Mus musculus: one gene and its partners. The protein of the gene in region 2 purifies or fractionates together with the protein of the main gene of each other region. This does not show direct contact. Links are inferred from orthologs where the notes say so. Each region holds a gene or a part of one and is shown on either strand. Other genes may lie near its edges. The genes, in order: Peli3, Irak1, Tollip, Map3k7 and Irak3.

Region 1 (4,028 bases), on a different chromosome or scaffold from region 2:
CGCTCCTCCATGAGGAACATCTCATTTACCCTTGTGAGCACTTCTCACGTACCAGCAGTGGCAAGCCTAGAGGGAGACAGGCCAGGATACAGGCTGAGGGCTCACAGGAGCCTGGCACACATCCACTCTTCAACTCATCACACAACCTCTATAAAATGGAACTCATCTGTCAGAACCTACTTGGAATATTGATTTTGAGAACTAAACAAGATAAAGTGCTTTAAAATGCTTGATAGAGTTTGCTACTCTTATAGCAAGGTCTTGATATGAGTTGGCTATTGTGGGTATTTGAAAAAAGGCAAGGTGGCACATAAAAGTGACCAAGTGACAGCCAGTGCTACATAGTTAATCTTCACCATGATCTGACAGCGGATCAGCAGAGGGAGACACATCTGTGTCTGGGGGAAGGGTTTCATGGAAGATGCAGGTGTCCAGGCAGGCAAAGACCAGAGCAAGCCCCATCGATTTCTCTGTAATAACCTCCACTTTCTCGTCTGTAATGCGAGGAGGAGCTGCAGCTTAGTGTAGTGTGCTAGACCTACAATTAAGAAGATCTGGGTTCAAATCCCAACCCTCCCACTTATGAGCTGTGTGCTTTTGGACCAGTCACTTCCCCTCTCTGAGCCTCATTTACTTCACCTCCTTCCTCGCAGCATCTTTGTGAGGGTTGAGATGAAGTAATGTCCACAACTTCGTACTACCTGCCTCCCAGATGCTTGGTATGTGCTGAGTACCAGTCTATGTACTTTACAAAAATCTCTTCCACCTTTCTTTCTTTCAGGTAAGCTTTGGGAGGCTAGAATCAACCTTGTCTTCAAAATGAGGACACAAGCCGGGCGTGGTGGTGCACGCCTTTAATCCCAGCACTCGGGAGGCGGAGGCAGGCAGATTTCTGAGTTCGAGGCCAGCCTGGTCTACAAAGTGGACAGCCAGGGCTATACAGAGAAACCCTGTCTCGAAAAACCAAAAAAAAAAAAAAAAAAAAAAAAAAAAAAAAAAAAAGGACACAAAAGCACAGGAAAGTTTGACAACTTGCTGAAGTAGAATTGGAACCTTTTGTGCAGAATCAGAATTCTTTATCCCACACTTACACACAGTAGGTGCTTTACAGACTCTTTTTTTGCTATTCTTTTTCTTAGCTGATTACAAACTGTGGTGAGCAGCTTTAAGAATTGCCTCCGGCTGCTGGTTGTGGTGTATACCTCTAATCCCAGTACTTGGGAGGCAGAGACAGGTGGATCTCCGAGTTCAAGGCTACCCTGGTCTACTCATCAAGTTCCAGGCCAAGGCTATGAGAAACCCTGTCTCCAAAACAAAACAACAGAAATGGGTTTGATCACTTTTGCTCTTCTTCTGGGAAAGTGGCAAGAAGCAGAGAGTCCTGGGAGAGCAGCCGGTGCACACTGTTATCTTGGCTGACCTGAGGGACAGTTACCCAAGCACATCACTCCTGGACTAGGGAGGCTCACCCCAGAACGATGAGTTCACCATACTTGATGGGCTCCTCGCCTGCCAGTGCTTCTTCACCAGGACAAGACAGGATGCAAGAGCCCTGGCTCCCCGGGTGCTGGAGGTCTGAGGTCCGGGGGGATCCCACGTCAGGGTTTCCTTCCAGCACCATTCTGAGCACAGTGGGAGAAGAGAAAAGAACCTTGCAACTTCCCACCCCAGCTCCTCTCAGGCTCTGGCTAGACACAAGGCAAGAATGGTCCGTCAACACTTGTTATTATAACTACTTCCTTTCCCCCAAATGGTGAGGTTGCTGGGATACCAAGGAGGGAGACTGGTGAGACAAGACCAAGAAACAAATGGCAAAATCAGAGTCAGAGTGTTTGGTCGGTTAGAGCAATATACCAACTTTGGATGGAATGTGTTTGGCAGAGGGGCAGCCAGGACTTAAGAGACCTCTAGACTCAGACTTAATTCCTGGCTTAAGCTCTTAACCCCAAGACCTCAGTTAAGCTCTCTGTCAGGTTCTTGGGTGTCTGTCTTCATTCTAATCTTATTGCCCTTTTTGCAGCAGGTCTAGGCCTCTGTCAGTCTGTCTGTTCTCAATGACTCTCTGTCCTCCCAGCACGTCCTTTTCTGCCTGTTCTCGCCCCACTCCGGTCCCTACTTCTATCCTTCCTCTATCTGTCTGCCTTTGTCTTACCACCCACCTGACTCAGTCTCCCTATCTTAGCCTGGCAATGCAGGCAGGCCTCCAGATCCCTCCCTCCCTCAGGTGTCTGTCTGTGGTCCTCAGGCCGCTTAGGTCTCTGGAGGCCTGTGGGGGCGGCGCTCCCCAGTCGGGCACCTCCTGCAGCAGAGTCAGTCGCCCGCAGGCTGTTAACAGCCCCAACGTTGGAAGGTCTGCGCAGAGGCAGGCCTGCACCCCGTGCTCGGGAAGGGCACAATGACAGCATACGCAGATACACACCAGGCGGCCCCTCACAAATACGCGCGCGCACGCTGTCAGTCCCGCGGGCAGTGCCTAGACTGGCACAGCATACCCAAGAACTCCTACGGCAGAGACGCGCCTCCGCGCTAACAGCCACAGGCGCCAGCCCTCAGACCCGCTCTCTTAACCCCGCCACCCCCAGATACTCAAACACGCCCCCAACGCACGCCCAACACAGCCCCCCGCCCCCCACCTCGCCAGCCTCACCTGGCGGCGTTCTGGGGCTCTCTGTGTGCTGCTGGCCCCCACCCGCCTCACCTCTACTGCGCCCCGGGACTGCCGCGGCGGGATGGGCCCGGCCCGCGGCTGCTCGGTGCAGCCTCGTCACGGGGACACCCGAGGCCCGGAGGAGGGAGGGATGTGCACACAAACCTCCACGCCCCACCCCTTGCCCCACGCCCCGCCCCGGCTCCGCCCCTAGAGGCCCCACCTTACCCCGAGGCTCCGCCTCCTGCGGCTTAAGCCTGGCTGTAGTCTGGGAAGCCAAAGAGGTTGTCTACAAGACCCCTCTCTTATTCCAGGCTCCGGACACCTCACCCTCATTCTGGGGTCTTCTAGGTTCTCCCCGAGACCGGAGCCTCCTTTCACACAGTAATCTAGAGGCTCCTTTTCCCAACCTAAGACTAGCGACTGCCCACCCGCTGCTCCAAGACCCCGCCTCCTTTATGGGGAAATCTCGGAATTACAGAGAAGCCCAGAGCAAACAGAGGGAAGGAAACTACTAGAAGAGGCGGAGGAAGGTGCATCACCCGTGGAGGCTGAGGAAAGCCACTGCGGTTGTCTCGAGTGCAGATCTGTCTTTCAGTTCAGCGCGACCACTTTCTCTCTGTGCAACAATCAGTGAGCTCTGGCCTCCTTGGTGTCCAGAGACATGAATCACTGACCTCCCCTCCCAACAGCATGCTTCTATCCTTTGCAAAGCCTCAAAGGAAAGCCCACTTTGGGGTGCTCGGTCCCTCAGGGCCACAGGCTTTCTTCTGTCAGTACCAGGCTCTCTGGGTTGAATTTGGGCAAATTAAGTCCTGTAATCCTTGGAAGGCGGGTACGATAATTGTGGCCTGTCACCCCTGTCCCCGATGCCACAAAACAGATTTACAGAAATGGCTTGCTACAAAGGAACCAAGAGAGGATCTGGCCCATGGCTTCATACACCTTGATAAACACTTTACCACTTACCAACATCTCCAGCCCTTGAACGACTCATTATTTTTTTTATATTAAATCTATTTTCATGTATATGAGTATTTTGCTTCCGTGTATGGTTGTGCACCACTTGTATGCCTACCTGGTGCCAACAGAGGCCAGAAACTCGAATTCTCTGGGACTGGAGTTACAAACAGTTGTGAGCCACCATGCCAGTGCTAAGTATCAAACCCAGAGCTGGGCAGTGGTGGCGCAAGCCTTTAATCCCAGCACTTGGGAGGCAGAGGCAGGCGGATTTCTGAGTTCAAGGCCAGCCTGGTCTACAGAGTGAGTTACAGGACAGCCAGGACTATACAGAGAAACCCTGTCTAATAATAATAATAATAATAATAATAATAATAATAATAATAAAAACCCAGGCTCTCTGAAAGAGCAAGCAGCCATT
Region 2 (3,514 bases):
CTCAGAAGAGCTATAGAAAGTCATATGGCCAGGGAGACAGTGACCCTCTGCTCAATGAACAGCTCTGTTCTGAGTGTCCCTGTGATATTCTTCCTGCCCAGTCCTGTGAATATGGGAACAGGTGTTGCCTGGGACCTCAGAGCTGAGAGTACTTAGGGCTATGAGTACCCCTGCATGGTGCAAGTATACAAATAAAGCCACGGTGGTGAGCAGAAGCCAAACAATGTGAAGGGGCTCAGGGACTGCGGGCCCTCAGACAGCTGGGATGCAATGCAGCCACTTTCCATAAGCAGTACGCCTCTAGTCCAGTTTATCAGGACCATTTGGGTGTAGGGGACAGAAAAACAGAAAGGTAGTAGGACCTGAACTGGTGCCATTCTTCCGTTTGTTTCCAAGTTCTAACGTGCTTCTGGATGAGAGACTGATGCCCAAGCTGGGAGACTTTGGCCTGGCTCGTTTCAGCCGCTTTGCGGGGGCCAAAGCAAGCCAGAGCAGTACTGTGGCCCGGACTTCCACAGTTCGAGGTACCCTCGCCTACTTGCCTGAGGAGTACATCAAGACAGGCCGACTGGCTGTGGACACCGATACCTTCAGCTTTGGGGTGGTGAGCCACCAGCCCTTCTGTTGGCTTGGGGAGGGAAAAGCACCAGTAAGTAAAGTCAGGAAAGCCTAGAGAATTCTAGGCCTAAGGCAGAGGTGAGCCTAGTGGGGAGCTAGCATAGCTTTGGCCTTAGGGATCACCCTGCCTCATACACCTCCCTCTTCCCTTGCACTAAATTGTGGTCATAATTTGCATCCTTTTGCTTAAGCTTGCATCCCATAACAATGCTGCCCTTGCTGGGAGGTGGTCTGTACCTGCCTGTTCCGGGACTACTTTCCCACTAGTCCTGATCCATGCCCATGCTACAAGCCTCTTCTACACACAATTTCTCCCTGCTAAAGTGATGTTGTCTATCCCCCCTCTAGGTAATACTGGAGACCCTTGCTGGTCAGAGGGCTGTGAGGACACAAGGTGCAAAGACCAAGTATTTGGTGAGCCTCCTAAGGTGGAGCATGGAGGGAGGGAGGGGCAGCTGCAGCCAGTGGGTACAGCCCCAGAGGGTGGGATGGTACAGATCCTTTACATTGCCCCACAATAGCCTGCTACTGCTGCTGCTGACTCATCTTTAAAAGTGGGTGAGTCCCAAGCAGTTTCTTTTACCTTGCACGGAAGAACCTATCTTTAGTTTGTACCTAGACCTTGAGGATAGGGATGTAATCTCAGTGGTAGAACCTTATTGCATGCAAGGCCCTGGGTCCTATCCCCATCAAAGGGGAAAAAGAACTTTGACAGGTTCCCCCTCTGCCTTGGACTGGGGATAGAGAGGGGGCTATTCCAGATACCCCGGGGACCAAACCTTCAGTGGAACTTAGAGCAGGGCTGAGTAAAGGCAGTAGGAAGTAGGCAGGCTGTTAAAGTAGCAGCTCCAAGCCATCCTGACCCCTACATTCCTGTCTACCTTGCTGTACACTGAGATAGGGCTAAGGAATAAGAGACCTAAAGCTTAGCATCTGAGTACATGGTTTTGGTTCCAACATTCAAAAATCTGAGGCAGGAGGATTGCCAGGAGTTGGAGGCCAGCTGGGGCTATATAACAAGACCTTCTATCAAAAACAACAACAACAAAATTAGTTGATTATGGTGGCATGTACACTTAGGAGGTAGAAGCAGGGGGGTCAGAAATTTAAAGTTATCCTCAGTAATATAGTAAGTTCAAGACCAGAGTAAGTTACATGGTTCACTGTCTCAAACATACAAAGAAGCTGGGCAGTGCCAGCACATGTCTTTAATCCCAGCACTTGGGAGGCAGAGGCAGGCGGATTTCCGAGTTTTGGCCAGCCTGGTCTACAGAGTGAGTTCCAGGGCAGCCAGAGCTACACAGAGAAACCCTGTCTTTTTTGTTTTTTGTTTTTTGTTTTTTTTAAAAACAAAAAACAAAAAAAGACAAGAGACCTGGGTTTTAGTCCCATCAACACAGTGGTCATGGGTCAAATTCTTGCTCTTCATTGAGCTTCAGTTTCCCATATAGAAAACAGACTTTAACACAGGAACACTATTCCAGCAATTCCTAGGCCCAGAACATGCTTGGCTAATGCTGGGTCGTCACCTTTTACAGAGTTACATCTCCCATTGCTTCTCCAGGATGAAGCCTATTTTTGTCCACTGTTGGGCCCAGTGGGGGATTTAACCAACCCAACAAACTGAACCAGATTCTACCCATCCCTCCTTCCTTTACTGCGTCCATTAGCACATCCCAGCTCAAGTACTGGTTGTTCAGACCCCACGGACCTTGCTAACAGACTAGTAGGTTTGTTGGCATCTGTTTCCCCCACTGCAATGGGATGTCAGGACTGTAAAACACGGCCCAGAGTGTTTGATTTGTGGCTGTTATCAGTAGAGCCCCAGACAGCACTAGGCACACAGTGGTGTTTAATGAACCTAGGGAAAGAAGACCAGAGGACTGAGTGGCAGTGGCCTGGAAGTTTTGGTGGAACCATGCTGAACTGACAGTATTTGTTTTACAGAAAGACCTGATTGAAGATGAGGCTGAAGAGGCTGGAGTGACCCTGAAAAGCACCCAGCCTACTCTGTGGGTGGGTGTAGCCACGGATGCTTGGGCTGCTCCAATTGCTGCCCAGATCTATAAGAAGCACCTGGACTCCAGACCTGGGCCCTGCCCACCCCAGTTGGGCCTGGCCCTGGCTCAACTAGCTTGCTGCTGCATGCACCGTCGGGCCAAGAAGAGGCCCCCCATGACCCAGGTAGCCCTGGGGAGGCCAGTTAACCATGGGGACATAGTGGCCAGCAAGAAAACTTTCGTACTTGCCCTGCTTGATAGCAATAGCTACAAAGTACCTACCTGATCTCTTACAGAGGCAAAACTCCCAACATTCCTTGCTTGCCCTTTGGCTCTATTTGGGGAGGTGCTCTGTGGAACTAAGTGGTAAAGGGCTGCTGCTTTGCTGGATGAGCCTCAGATCCCAGGAACAGGTAGAAGGAAAGGGCTCTGATCATGCCCCTAAGTGGGGGTGCTGTGCCACTCACTACCTTTGTCTTTTTGTCTTACCTTCCACCTCTTCTGGTGATGGTTAAGAATAGAGTTCCTGGCTTTGGTGGCCATGAATCTCAATAGTTCTTGGGATGAGACAAAGGAACAAAGGGCAATGTTTTCTCAGCTGCAGAGTGCACCAGCTTTGTGTTATCTGTCATTCTGTTGGCTGTATGGGGCCTGTGGTATTAACCTGAACATAGGCAAGTCTAGGCCAACCTGAAGCAGCAGAGTAGCTGTGTGGTTTGACCACAGGGTGTCAGATCTAGGCTGCCTTGCCCAGCCAGGAACCCATGCTCTGCCCATCCTGAGAGCCTCTCTCTCCACACAGGTATACAAGAGACTAGAAGGGCTTCAGGCAGGGCCTCCCTGGGAGCTAGAGGTTGCCGGCCATGGCTCCCCTTCCCCACAGGAGAACTCCTACA
Region 3 (3,514 bases), on a different chromosome or scaffold from region 2:
TCAGAGCCACAGTTTTTCCTGTTGGCTGAAGCCAAGAAAGGAGCTGTGTGATCTCATCTGCTCATCTGGCTTGCCCTATTCTGGTAGGAGGACGAGTTGGATACCAGGCACTGTGAAAGCCACAGGAAGATTAGAAATTTAAAAAAATACATAAAAGCCACATCTTGACTTTATGACCCAAGCAGCTATTAATTTATATGGGTAAATACTTTCAATGAAAGCCATGATTTTCTTTTAAGATGTAGGTGCTCAGGGTGAGTGTTGTCTAACAGGAACCAGGTTGTCTTATTCCAGTAACTCATTCATAAAAATGACAATGTTTCTACAACTCCAAAAATTTCAACTCACCTTACTTGTGGCAATAATTAGGGCAAACACTATTGCCTATGTATGCATAAATAATTCAGATATGACACTGGAATAAGTTTTAGAAGGATCCTCATTTAAAGCAGCCATGCTTACACAATTCTACACTACTCAAGCTTCACAGGCCCTTCCCTCCTCCTGTCCTACTTTGTCCCAGGACTGCCTACCAAAGAAGCAGTACACACCTGCAATGGGCACATAGCCAACACCCTGCTGGTACACAGTTGGCATCAGGACCACAGGCTGAGGAGGCATCATCATGGCAGCTGGGAGGGACTGAAACACAACAAAGAAAAACATGTCAGTCAAGGAGGACCACACCATATGTCAATCTTGTTACTTCTGGTATCAGAGGAGTGGTCCTAGCCTCAGCCCAGACATTAACACCCAAGACATGGAGTCCTCAGCAAGAATGTAGTATTCCTGGCCTCTGGTTTCATCTGTACCAACACTCCCGCAGACTGCCTCCCTTCAGCTAGACAACTTGGGCTGCAGACTCCTAGCTCAGTTAGGAAAGTGGTGCACAAGCATGAGGACCTGAGTTCAATCCCCAGCATCTATGCATAAAGCCATGTTTGGTAGCTCATATCTATAATCCAAGGGATAGGGAGTCATAGACAAGAAGATCCCTCAAGTTCATTAGCCAGCCAATCTAGAGGAATGAGATTCAGTTTCAGTGAGAACAAAAGTCAGGGTGAAGATTAAAGAAAACAAATGATATCAACTACTGGCCTCACATGAGCTGCAACCACCACCGCTTCTCACACAGCCCCCTTCACGGTTTGTTCTGGAGACTGCATAAGTATCAGAAGCTTCTCTCAGAAATACTGAATTGGTTTGTTTGTTTGTTTAATATGTCTTAGTGTTCTGTGTGCATGTATATATGTGCATTATGTGTGTGCCTGATGCCAGTGAAGGTACTGAATCCCCTGGAACTGGAGTTACAGTTGGTTGTGAGCCACCATGTAGAGGCTGGGAATCAAACCTGGAAATTTCCACAAGAGCAGCAGTGCTCTTACCTGTTAAGCCACCTCTCCTGGACCAGCTCTAATAATCTTGAACTGTAGATGCGATAGTGTAAAATGGACCTATGCTACATAAAGCACCTGTTAAAGACAGGTAACACTCAACACCAGGAGAGGCATGTAGGATGGTCAAGCTGAGGAGGCCTGCATCAGAGTGCTTTATACTCCCCTGTTCTCAAAGACTCTGCAACAACTAAAATGAAAGGCCTAGATAATACAAAGGAGACACTGGGAGCTCAGATGCCCAGCCCTGCCTCCCATGACTTCCCAAGGTTCTGGGATTCTGGGAGCCATAGCTGCCTCAAGGAGGTGCCATAACCTCTTTGAGGATGGCCTCTCCGGACAGTGAACTCACCGTGTAGGACATGACCAGGTTAATCATGCCCTCCTTGTCATCGCCCTGCCTCCCACTCAGGCTATACCACTCGTCCTCCACTTGGCCCTGCTTCAGGGACTCGGGGATGGTGATGTGGGTCCAAGCTATGCGGTCATCCATGGAGAAGGCGCGCTGAGGAAGACAAGAGTAAAATGACCTCATCATGGCCCACAACAACCCATGTTATAGAGACGAGCTTTTCCTATGGCTGTGACTCCACCTGGACTGGTGCCTGCATCTACCTTCTATCTTCTTGGCAGGAGAGGTTCCTCCTCACTGCTCCATCTTCCGTCAAGGAGCTTCCCATTAAACCATAACGCCAGACCTCCATAGATCACCTAGACCTGGCCACCACCATTTCTGCATCTTCTGAGTAACAACCATGAGGCCAGGCCAAAGGACAATAAAGAATCTCTGGGCTGTCATCCTTGTTCAGGGATGGACACTATCTTCCCCAGTCCTTGGGCCCTTACTCCTAATCCACTAGATATAAGAAGCAAGTATCAAGCCCAGTAGGTACAGATGAGGACAAGAGCTCCAAGCCACCACCCACAGCCCCAAACCTCCTTCTCATATCCTTACTATTCTCAGACACAGAAGGAGGAGAAAGGGACAAAACCAACCAACTAAACAAACAAACAAGAAGAAAGTAGAGCAAGAGGCAGAGGGTCAAGACAAAGGAGAAACTGTGTCCCCTCACTGGGCCTCCCATGCCAATGTCCTCTTTGGCTCTCATGCCTCCATTTTTTTCCCACTGCCCTTTGCTGTTTCAAGGAAACAAGCATATGACCTCCACAGCTAAGCTACAAGGAGACATCTTCCACCTGAGTTTCCTGATTGCCCTCAAAAAGCTGCATGCCTAACTGCTGGAACAGCCATGGGACATTACTGGCAGAGCCTGGAACTCATGCCTACAAGAACAGTGCTCCCATCACGAGTGGAGCCTGACTTGCTTGAAATCTGACGTGCCCGTGAACATCTATTTTCACACTCTACTCATGCTTCTACTGCTGGTGATGGCTCCCAATGGACACTGTCAAAGGAACTGAGAGAAAAAATCTGTAGCTTGTCATTTAGCCACTAAATGCCAGGTGTCCAGGCAGGTCACACCCTGTCACCAGTCACTAAATGCTAGGTATGTATACAGGGCCTGAGCACCAGGAGAACAGCTTCATGACTAAACCCACAAGGCACACTACAGCACACCCATGTCTGTCAGATCCCAAACTAGACAGGTCTGTAACACTGGGGCATCTCTCACCTCATCGAAGATCTCAAGGTAGAACGAGTCCACACCTGGGGGCACTGTGCACTGAATGACTTTGTTCCAGCGAGGGTTCTTGGCCCCATTGTGTGCTGTGGGAGTTTCATAAACAGCATAGCCCAGACGCAGACGGCAGTAAGGGTCCATACGAGTCATGCCATAATTCTTTGCCAATTTTGCCTGAAACAACACCAAATTTAGAAAAATGTGGCATTCACCAGCAGAGACAAAGGCCAGTGCATCTGTAAACTGCTTTTCTTACAGATATTTCCCAGTGTGTGAAAAAACAGCCTTCAAGTTCACCTAATCGTGTCAGTAACCTGCTCTTGAACATGCTGCCAGTCACTCCTGGACTCATGCCCCTGGAACCTAGCCATACCTGGCAACACCTGTGAGCAGTAAGACAAGACCTCTCCTCTGACACTGCACTGAGTGTGCGCATCCTAGGCCTCAGCACGGAGCTGAGGTTGAATGGGAAGTGCG
Region 4 (3,514 bases), on a different chromosome or scaffold from region 2:
TTTGTGTGGCAATCTACAGTTTTCTCTCCATCTCCCTGGGTACAGCATGAGAGGTATTTGTTCATATCCTATGCAAATTGGAGCAAGAAGCATTTAAAAGTACCGGGATCATGAATCCAGTTCCACAGCCGTTACACCAACACAGGTGGTCTATGGTACCTGATATGACGATCTCAGGGACATCCAGAATGTTGCCAAATGAAGCGGTTTTACGGTGGCCCCGTTTAGGCTTGGAATAGGCTGAAAAAACACACATGTACAGTATACATGCAAACAACCACACACAGTAACACAGGAAATGACTGCACAACAGAACAGTTCTGAAATAGTTGTGTGAATCCATCTCATGCAAAAAAAAAGGGCATGCAGAACTATCTAACTCTTCGTCCATGCTTAGGGAGGCGACGTTAAAGAGCAAAGAGTTTCAGAAGTTTTACACACTGGTTTTAATTAGCAGGAAAAAAACCCAACAACAAATAGAGAGAGACAAAGCTGCAGGACACTGAAGAAGCTAAATTTCCGATGTGTTCTTAGAAATAGTGTACCTAAGTAAAATCAGTGGTATGAGGTGACGGGAGGGACGGCAGGACAGGAGGTGCAGGAGTTAGTAAGACAAGCTGCCATGTTTGTGCTTACGACACAAACAGGAGCAGGAAGATCCTAAGTTAGGTGCGTCCTGGAGTGTGCTATAAATCAAATTCCGTGATTATCAACAGTCATCATACCAAAGCATTAAAACATATTTCCCTAAGTTTATCTACAGTGTTTCTAATAAACTGAATATTTATTACAATTTTAAACGTTTAGAGTATATAACTGTTAAACAGGAAGACTGTCAAAAGCTGGAATATGAACCTTTCAAAGTAAGATAATTCATTAAAAATTCAAATTATTTAAAATTCAAAGGATGTATTGTCTTACATTTAGGTAGAGAGGACAAACTAATTTTATGTATGATTATCCTTAAACTGGAAAAATGTCATTCTTATAATATGTAATTACAAATCTGTATCTGATTAGAAAAACAGGCTTAGCAAAATCCTAAACTATTATGAAAACATTACTTCCCCTTTCAGGGCAGAATCAACATTATGTGTGTATTCTGGATGATAACTGAACTGAAGTGGACCCCCAACAATGCTGGCAGTATGTCTCTGTCTACAGACATCTGTGCTTCATGGAGACCAGCAGACCAGTGATGGGCACTGACCTCTACTGAACCTGACGTTTTCTGAGGATTTATCTCAGGTGGAGACAGCTATTTCCCCACTCATTTCTAGTCTTTTCTTCTCCTTAGCATGGGCTCTGACTTTACTAATGCAGCAATTTCAGCTATGGCTCAGACCCCTTGTGGAATGAGTGTGGAAGCTGCAGAAATTGGTTTCAAAAGCTTTCCCCCCTTCTGTTTCCTTTTCTTTCCTGCTACCTGAGCAGTGAAGTGACGGCTTGAGCTGTCACAACCATTTTGGACCACACGGTAACCTTGAGGATAGAAGTTAAACAACAGAGATTGTGACACAGAGATAGAAAACCAGTGCCTAAAGACCACAAGGCAAATCTAGACTTGTCTCTGTGGGCTCAATAGCTTAGTGTTTAAACACTGTCTCTTCAGACAGTCCTTCCTATCTAAAGGCTTTTAGTGCAGGTTGATAAATCAGTGACTGTGATTAGTTTAGACAAGTACAGTACAGTTCATCTGGATGCCACTCTCTACAAAGAGAACACACACAATCAGAACATTTTACTTAGAAAACATCTCCGTTTACATTTTTTTTAAAACTCTGTATATATAATTAAAAGATATGCAGATACATCGAAACTATCCCCCGAAGAGGAGAATTTATCAAGTTTTTACTGTTATTTGTTTTACACTTTTACATGCTCCAATACAATGCTCATTTTTACAATTCACTCTTGTCTAACCTTGGAAGATCAGAAATAACAAAATAAGACTCAAATTAAATTGGCACCACTAAAGTGAAACCCGGTTTAAAAAAGGTGCTGGTTCACCAGGTGACAAAATGCCATTCTTTTTAATTCTGGCTACGTTGTCTATTGTACATTTTAAGAGCTGACAAAATGAAATTTAAACACTATCAAAGCCAACGTCTGATGAAACTACTACTATTGATTCTATCATCAGATAAGCAAACAGCTAGCTGGGCGACTCTGGCCGCTGGCAGGAAGAGCAGGACAACAGCTCCTGGGGCACAATTTCCTGCCAATCATGTTTCGTTTCTTGGGCTCAGCATAAAAACACTGGAATTACTCAGCCATAGAAAATACTCTGGTATTGGTGAAAGTTTGATTTCTGAAGCTTGTTTATGTTTGAGGAGAAATATATTTGATATATTTGTTACATTTGAAAGTCTGTAACTAGGAAGTGTATTTTATAATCCAAATACATTTTAAGCCATACTTGTCTATTTAAAATTTGAACCAAAACCTTTACTGCTGAAAGCTTAGAAAACACCGTGAACCCACCATCTGTTTTTAGAAAGCAGATATAAGACACGACCCATCGGCCCTATTGAATACAACCGCGAGTACCATGTAAAACCATAGGCATTTTCTCTTTGGGCTTGCAGCCCCTTTACCTGCAGTCGCCACGATCCTGGCTTCTATTTCAGACATGTCAGCACTCATCCTCTTGCCCTCGGAAGTGGGGGGCAAGCTCTCCACACTGCTCCCACGAGAGGCTCCCAAGCTCAGGCGTCCAGATTCACTCTGTTAGGATTACAGGTCAATCTCAGTTACTGAGGATCTTTTCCTGTAGAGATCCTGGGCAGCCCAGGATGAAGATGGCAAGTGGCTTTTCATGCTGATGGTGCTGTTCTGAAGCAGGGAACCTTATAACGGAGGGACCTAGTAAAGCACAGCAGGCTCAGATATACACGGCTCAAAGCAATCACTTATTACCAACAACAGCCGTAATACAACCAACCTAACAGGATGACAGCCTTGTGAGAACTTAACTGGTCCATAGAACCTAAATACATTTCACACTGTTTGTAGGACCCTTAGTTAGAGATGGGTCACAGGGAGGAAGGGGCAGGGCTAACAACAGCAACAGACAGGAGAAAGGAAAACAAGTTGTTTGGTAAAAAATGACAGCAAAATTTCATGTCTCTTACCACAAGCTTATTTGTCTGGTACAGAAAGAAAACTCAGGATTGTTACATATCAGAAGATTGCAAATAATCTATAACTTTAGTATAATGTTGTGACTACTAGTAAAGAAAACATACAATTTTACTTTTAATAACAAACCTGTTGCTTTGCCTGGTTTTTCAAAAGTTTTGACTCCAAGCGTTTAATAGTGTCGTTTGTGGCAGGAACCTGTTCCATATTTGTGTCACTTTTATTACTGGTATTTGTAGAAGCAATGTCCATGAATGAGCCTAGAAAAGCAGACACATTTCAGACTACAGGCTGGGAATAATATGAATGCCTTATTCAATAGTGGACAAGACATATGTAAAAATAAGACTTCTACACCAGTGAAAACACACTG
Region 5 (4,190 bases), on a different chromosome or scaffold from region 2:
TGACATGACCTGGCCCCATCCGCACTTGAGCACTGTACCAAAAATATTGTTCTTGAAAACGCAGTAGCCTTACAAATACACAGGTGGATGCTCACAGCCAACCATTGGACTGAGCACAGGGTCCCCAATGGAGGAGTTAGAGAAAGGACTGAAGGAGCTGAAGGGGTTTGCAACCCCATAGGAAGAACAACAATATCAACCAACCAGACTCCCCCTCCCCAGCCCCAGAGCTTCCAGGAACTAAACCACCAACCAAGGAGTACACATAGCTCCAGCTGCATATGTAGCAGAGGATGGCCTTGTCAGGCATCAATGGGAGGAGAGGTCCTTGGTTCTATGAAGGTTCTATAGATGCCCCAGTGTAGGGGAATTGAGGATGGGGAGGCAGAAGTGGGTGGGTGGGTGGAGGAACACCCTCATAGAAGCAGGGGGAGGGAGGAGAGGAAAAGGGGTTCGGGGGGGCAGGGACCGGGAAAGAGTATAACATTTGAAATGTAAATAAAGAAAATATCCAATAAAAAAGATGTATTAAAAAATGCAGTAATTTTAGTAAGTCTATATACGCAAATACTCACTATGCCATGATCTAGCTTGAATAGGGAACAATCTGATAGGAGAGGAATCTTCTCTCTCAAATGAAGGCTGGAAATGGAAACAGCTTCGTCTTCCTGAAGTCGGGAAGACTTGATTCCAAGTAGCCTTTTCTGAGATGTTCACTGAAGAAATTGTTTAGGAGCCAAGGATGGAGCCAAGGACTTTCCTCATTTGAAGAAAGCAGTCTATGACTGAACAATTACCCTAAGCCCATTCTCCAAACCATTTTTACATAACTGTTACAGTTTCAGAAATTATAAGCATATTGTTTGCCAACCACAAAGGAAAAAAACCACTATTTTAGATAAAGCTGCTTTAAAATACTCATGTGTATTTTCAAGTAACATTAACTACAACAGCATGAGTTATCATCTAACTCCAAAGAGAACACTTGTATTTAACAAAGCATAGACTTTGCCTGAGCTTTTTGTTTGTTTGTTTGTTTGTTTGTTTTTCGAGACAGGGTTTCTCTGTGTAACCATGGCTGTCCTGGAACTCACTCTGTAGACCAGGCTGACCTTGAACTCAGAAATCCGCCTGCCTCTGCCTCCCAAGTGCTGGGATTAAAGGCGTGCGCCACCATGCCCGGCTGAGCTTTTTTGTTACTATATCACCACTTTACAATATGTAGTTGCTCAGTTTACCAAATCTGCATAAAATGGATATTTGAAGATAACTTTTGAGATTAATATGAAGAGGCTTTCTTTACAATTTTATTGCAGTAGATTTGGCAAATAAGCAAAAAACATTTAATTAAGAAAAGTGGAAATCGGGGCTGGAGAGATGGCTCAGTGGTTAAAGAGCACTGACTGCTCTTCGGAAGGTCCTGACTTCAATTCCCAGCAACCACATGGTGGCTCACAACCATCCGTAACGAGATCTGGTGCCCTCTTCTGGAGTGTCTGAAGGCAGCTACAGTGTACTTACATATAATAAATAAATCTTAAAAAGAAAGAAAGAAAGAGAGAGAGAGAGAGAGAGAGAGAGAGAGAGAGAGAGAGAGAGAGAGAAAGGAAGAAAGAAAGAAAGAAAAGTGGAAATCACATCCACCGCAAACAGCATTTCCCTTATAGATTATTGGAGACTTATTGGAAACAGCGAAGTGGGTTATGCATGCCATCTGAGTTCTGTCCCAGGATCCCGTGGTGGAAGGAGAGAACTGGTTCCTGGAATTTGTCTTCTAGATGCGGGAGGAGTGTGGGATACACACACAAAAAACACCAAAGAATAGATATCTTAAAGTTCTAAAAGAAAGGAAGGAAGGAAGGAAGGAAGGAAGGAAGGAAGGAAGAAGGAAAGGAGAAAAGAAAGAAAGAAAGAAAGAAAGAAAGAAAGAAAGAAAGAAAGAAAGAAAGAAAGAAAGAAAGAAAGGAAGGAAGGAAGGAAGGAAGGAAGGAAGGAAGAAAGAAAGAAAGAAAGAAAGAAAGAAAGAAAGGAAAGAAAAGAAAGTAAGTTTGCTTTTTGTTTTTGAGATGGCGTCTCATGTTTCCCAAGCCAGCTAGGAACTCTCTACAAGGAGAGGATGCTCTTGAGCATCTGTCCTGCCTACTTCTACCTCTCAATGACTGGCACTACCACTGTCTGTTTTATTCCAAGCTAGGGAATCGAACATGCAGCTTCATACATCTATAGGTAAGCACTCTAGCAACTGAGCGGCATCTCAAAAAAGAAGTTATAATATTAAAAAAATCTGATGTAGGGGTTGTAGAGCCAGTAGCCATGCCCTGCATACGGTAATATTTGCATACTGCTGCGCACACTGCAAACCGAGTGAAGCGAGAATCTCTTCCCAGCACGGGATGCTTTCTTGACATCTGACATACCCAATCCCCTAACTTGATACAGCAGTACCCCACTGTCAGAGAGGGAAGGAGAGTGAGTGGCAGGTCCCCGGGTTTGCTGAGTCCCTCGCGGGGGAGGACCGGCAGGTCTGAGTCGCACTCACCCAGGCCCCGCCAGCCGAGCGGGCCATCGCAGCTGTCCAGGATCCCGCAAAGCTCTCCCAGCAGTGCGGGCGGCAGGTCGAAGAGCAGCAACTGTGGCGACAGCGCGCCACGGGCCCCGCACCGGCCGGCCATCGCGGAGTCCCGGGACCCCACGCAGAGAAGCAGGGAGGTCGCCGCTGTCACCGCCTTTCACAACCGCGGAAATTCAGCTCCACGACGGCTGCCCGGAGCTTGCAACACGCCGTCGCAGGGCGGGCCCCACGTGACGTAGGGAGCCGCTCCCCAGGGATGCGCCCTGCGAGACCTGGGCTGCCCTTGCTCCTAGCCGCTGTCCCGCGACCCTGCGCGCCGCACCCCAGGTCATCTTTGTTATGAACCGTTCTGTCCGTCCCCGTCTTGGGACATGACCCAGGAGACCAGCCAAGAAAATGAGGGCGGGGAACAGCGGCTGGAATCCGGGAAAGCCGCCACCCCTCTGCTGCTCTGGGACGGGCGGCCTCCTGGCCACGATGGATCTAAGAGGTTTGTGTTACATCTTTTAAAGTTTCTCTTTGTCCCGTCAGGAAAGAAATGCGTGCTCACCGAGAAACACGTTTTTGCCAAATAACTTTAAACGGAAGGAAACGTGTACACGCCGGGCGAAATGGACATAAAAAGAAAACCACAACAAACAGGCCAAACCTGGGCAAACAAACTGCTCATCCTTGCTGCAGAAGGCAACCCCTGCCGTCGTGCCGCTTGGTTTTACTACAGTCTCCCTTTCTTTCCTCGCAGTGCTTCAACGAGTTTGCAAAATGAAGTTTAGGAAACATTGGCTGGTGTGTTGAAATATTCTACCGTTTATGCTGTAATGACCACCGCAGGAACGGTACGGATACTACTGACAAAGGAGGTGGGAAAATGAAGTGGGAGATTTTATGATAACCAGGCACTGAAAAACAAACTCCTGTTTCAATCCCCTGAGCTTGTCTTTGGAATGGCGCCCCCTGGCGGTCAGCAGCAATGGTGCCTGGGCATTCAGTACCCACAGTGGCAAAGTTAGAACTGTTTGAGCAAAACTTCTTAAGTCTCCTCATTCTAAGGACTACGGTTTTATCAGGCTACACCCCAAAAAGGGTCTCTATGCCACCATGCTGAGCATCAGAGGGAGAGAAGATTGATACAGGGTTCTTTTTGACTTTCTAGACCAGACAAAAGCAACCTGAGACGTGTGCCTGCACAGGAAATCGCCATGTGTGGTTGTGTTAGCTTTCTGACAAAATGCCCCCACCGAGCAGCTTCAAAAGAAGAAGTTGTTTGGTACACAACCTCGGAACTTCAGTCCATGGTTGCTTGACCCCAATGTCTTTTGAGGTCTCTGAGAAGCCAAAGTGTCATAGCGTAAGTGATCCATGGCGGCAGGAAATGAGAGAGAGGGAGGGAGGAAGGGGGACAGGGCCAGGGTACCAAATTCCCTTCAAGGGATCTGATTTATTTGCACTAAGACCTATCTGGTTCCGGTTCAGTCGCCTATCAGCACTGTAGGCTGGCAAGCAAGCTTTTAGTATATGGGCAGTCAGAGGATGTTTAATATCCTCACTATAACAATAACAGTAACACTCAAAATGTTTGCATCACCAGGTCTTCTAATGCGGCATGAGGCAAGGAGAA

The links.
Region 1: the proteins of Irak1 (region 2) and Peli3 purify together in Homo sapiens (affinity purification with western blotting; 7 studies listed by BioGRID and IntAct, with this or other methods). This does not show direct contact. The link is inferred for Mus musculus from reciprocal best matches to the Homo sapiens genes IRAK1 and PELI3.
Region 3: the proteins of Irak1 (region 2) and Tollip purify together in Homo sapiens (affinity purification with western blotting; 11 studies listed by BioGRID and IntAct, with this or other methods). This does not show direct contact. The link is inferred for Mus musculus from reciprocal best matches to the Homo sapiens genes IRAK1 and TOLLIP.
Region 4: the proteins of Irak1 (region 2) and Map3k7 purify together in Homo sapiens (affinity purification with western blotting; 5 studies listed by BioGRID). This does not show direct contact. The link is inferred for Mus musculus from reciprocal best matches to the Homo sapiens genes IRAK1 and MAP3K7.
Region 5: the proteins of Irak1 (region 2) and Irak3 purify together in Homo sapiens (co-immunoprecipitation; 3 studies listed by BioGRID and IntAct, with this or other methods). This does not show direct contact. The link is inferred for Mus musculus from reciprocal best matches to the Homo sapiens genes IRAK1 and IRAK3.

The regions. Positions count from the first base shown.
Region 1 is NC_000085.6:4,940,291-4,944,318, forward strand, and holds the start of Peli3 (E3 ubiquitin-protein ligase pellino homolog 3), read right to left. Parts: upstream 2,803-4,028; 5' UTR 2,648-2,802; intron 1,623-2,647; 5' UTR 1,622-1,622; coding exon 1,470-1,621; intron 1-1,469. UniProt on the Homo sapiens protein: E3 ubiquitin ligase catalyzing the covalent attachment of ubiquitin moieties onto substrate proteins. Involved in the TLR and IL-1 signaling pathways via interaction with the complex containing IRAK kinases and TRAF6.
Region 2 is NC_000086.7:74,017,418-74,020,931, reverse strand, and holds part of Irak1 (interleukin-1 receptor-associated kinase 1), read left to right. Parts: intron 1-396; coding exon 397-604; intron 605-966; coding exon 967-1,032; intron 1,033-2,565; coding exon 2,566-2,802; intron 2,803-2,914; coding exon 2,915-3,031; intron 3,032-3,420; coding exon 3,421-3,514.
Region 3 is NC_000073.6:141,888,956-141,892,469, forward strand, and holds part of Tollip (toll-interacting protein), read right to left. Parts: intron 3,212-3,514; coding exon 3,029-3,211; intron 1,900-3,028; coding exon 1,747-1,899; intron 643-1,746; coding exon 552-642; intron 1-551. UniProt on the Homo sapiens protein: Component of the signaling pathway of IL-1 and Toll-like receptors. Inhibits cell activation by microbial products. Recruits IRAK1 to the IL-1 receptor complex. Inhibits IRAK1 phosphorylation and kinase activity.
Region 4 is NC_000070.6:31,991,600-31,995,113, reverse strand, and holds part of Map3k7 (mitogen-activated protein kinase kinase kinase 7), read right to left. Parts: intron 3,402-3,514; coding exon 3,271-3,401; intron 2,728-3,270; coding exon 2,598-2,727; intron 241-2,597; coding exon of another isoform or gene 160-240; exon of another isoform or gene 104-159; intron 1-103. UniProt on the Homo sapiens protein: Serine/threonine kinase which acts as an essential component of the MAP kinase signal transduction pathway. Plays an important role in the cascades of cellular responses evoked by changes in the environment.
Region 5 is NC_000076.6:120,198,788-120,202,977, forward strand, and holds the start of Irak3 (interleukin-1 receptor-associated kinase 3), read right to left. Parts: upstream 2,811-4,190; 5' UTR 2,673-2,810; coding exon 2,540-2,672; intron 1-2,539. UniProt on the Homo sapiens protein: Putative inactive protein kinase which regulates signaling downstream of immune receptors including IL1R and Toll-like receptors.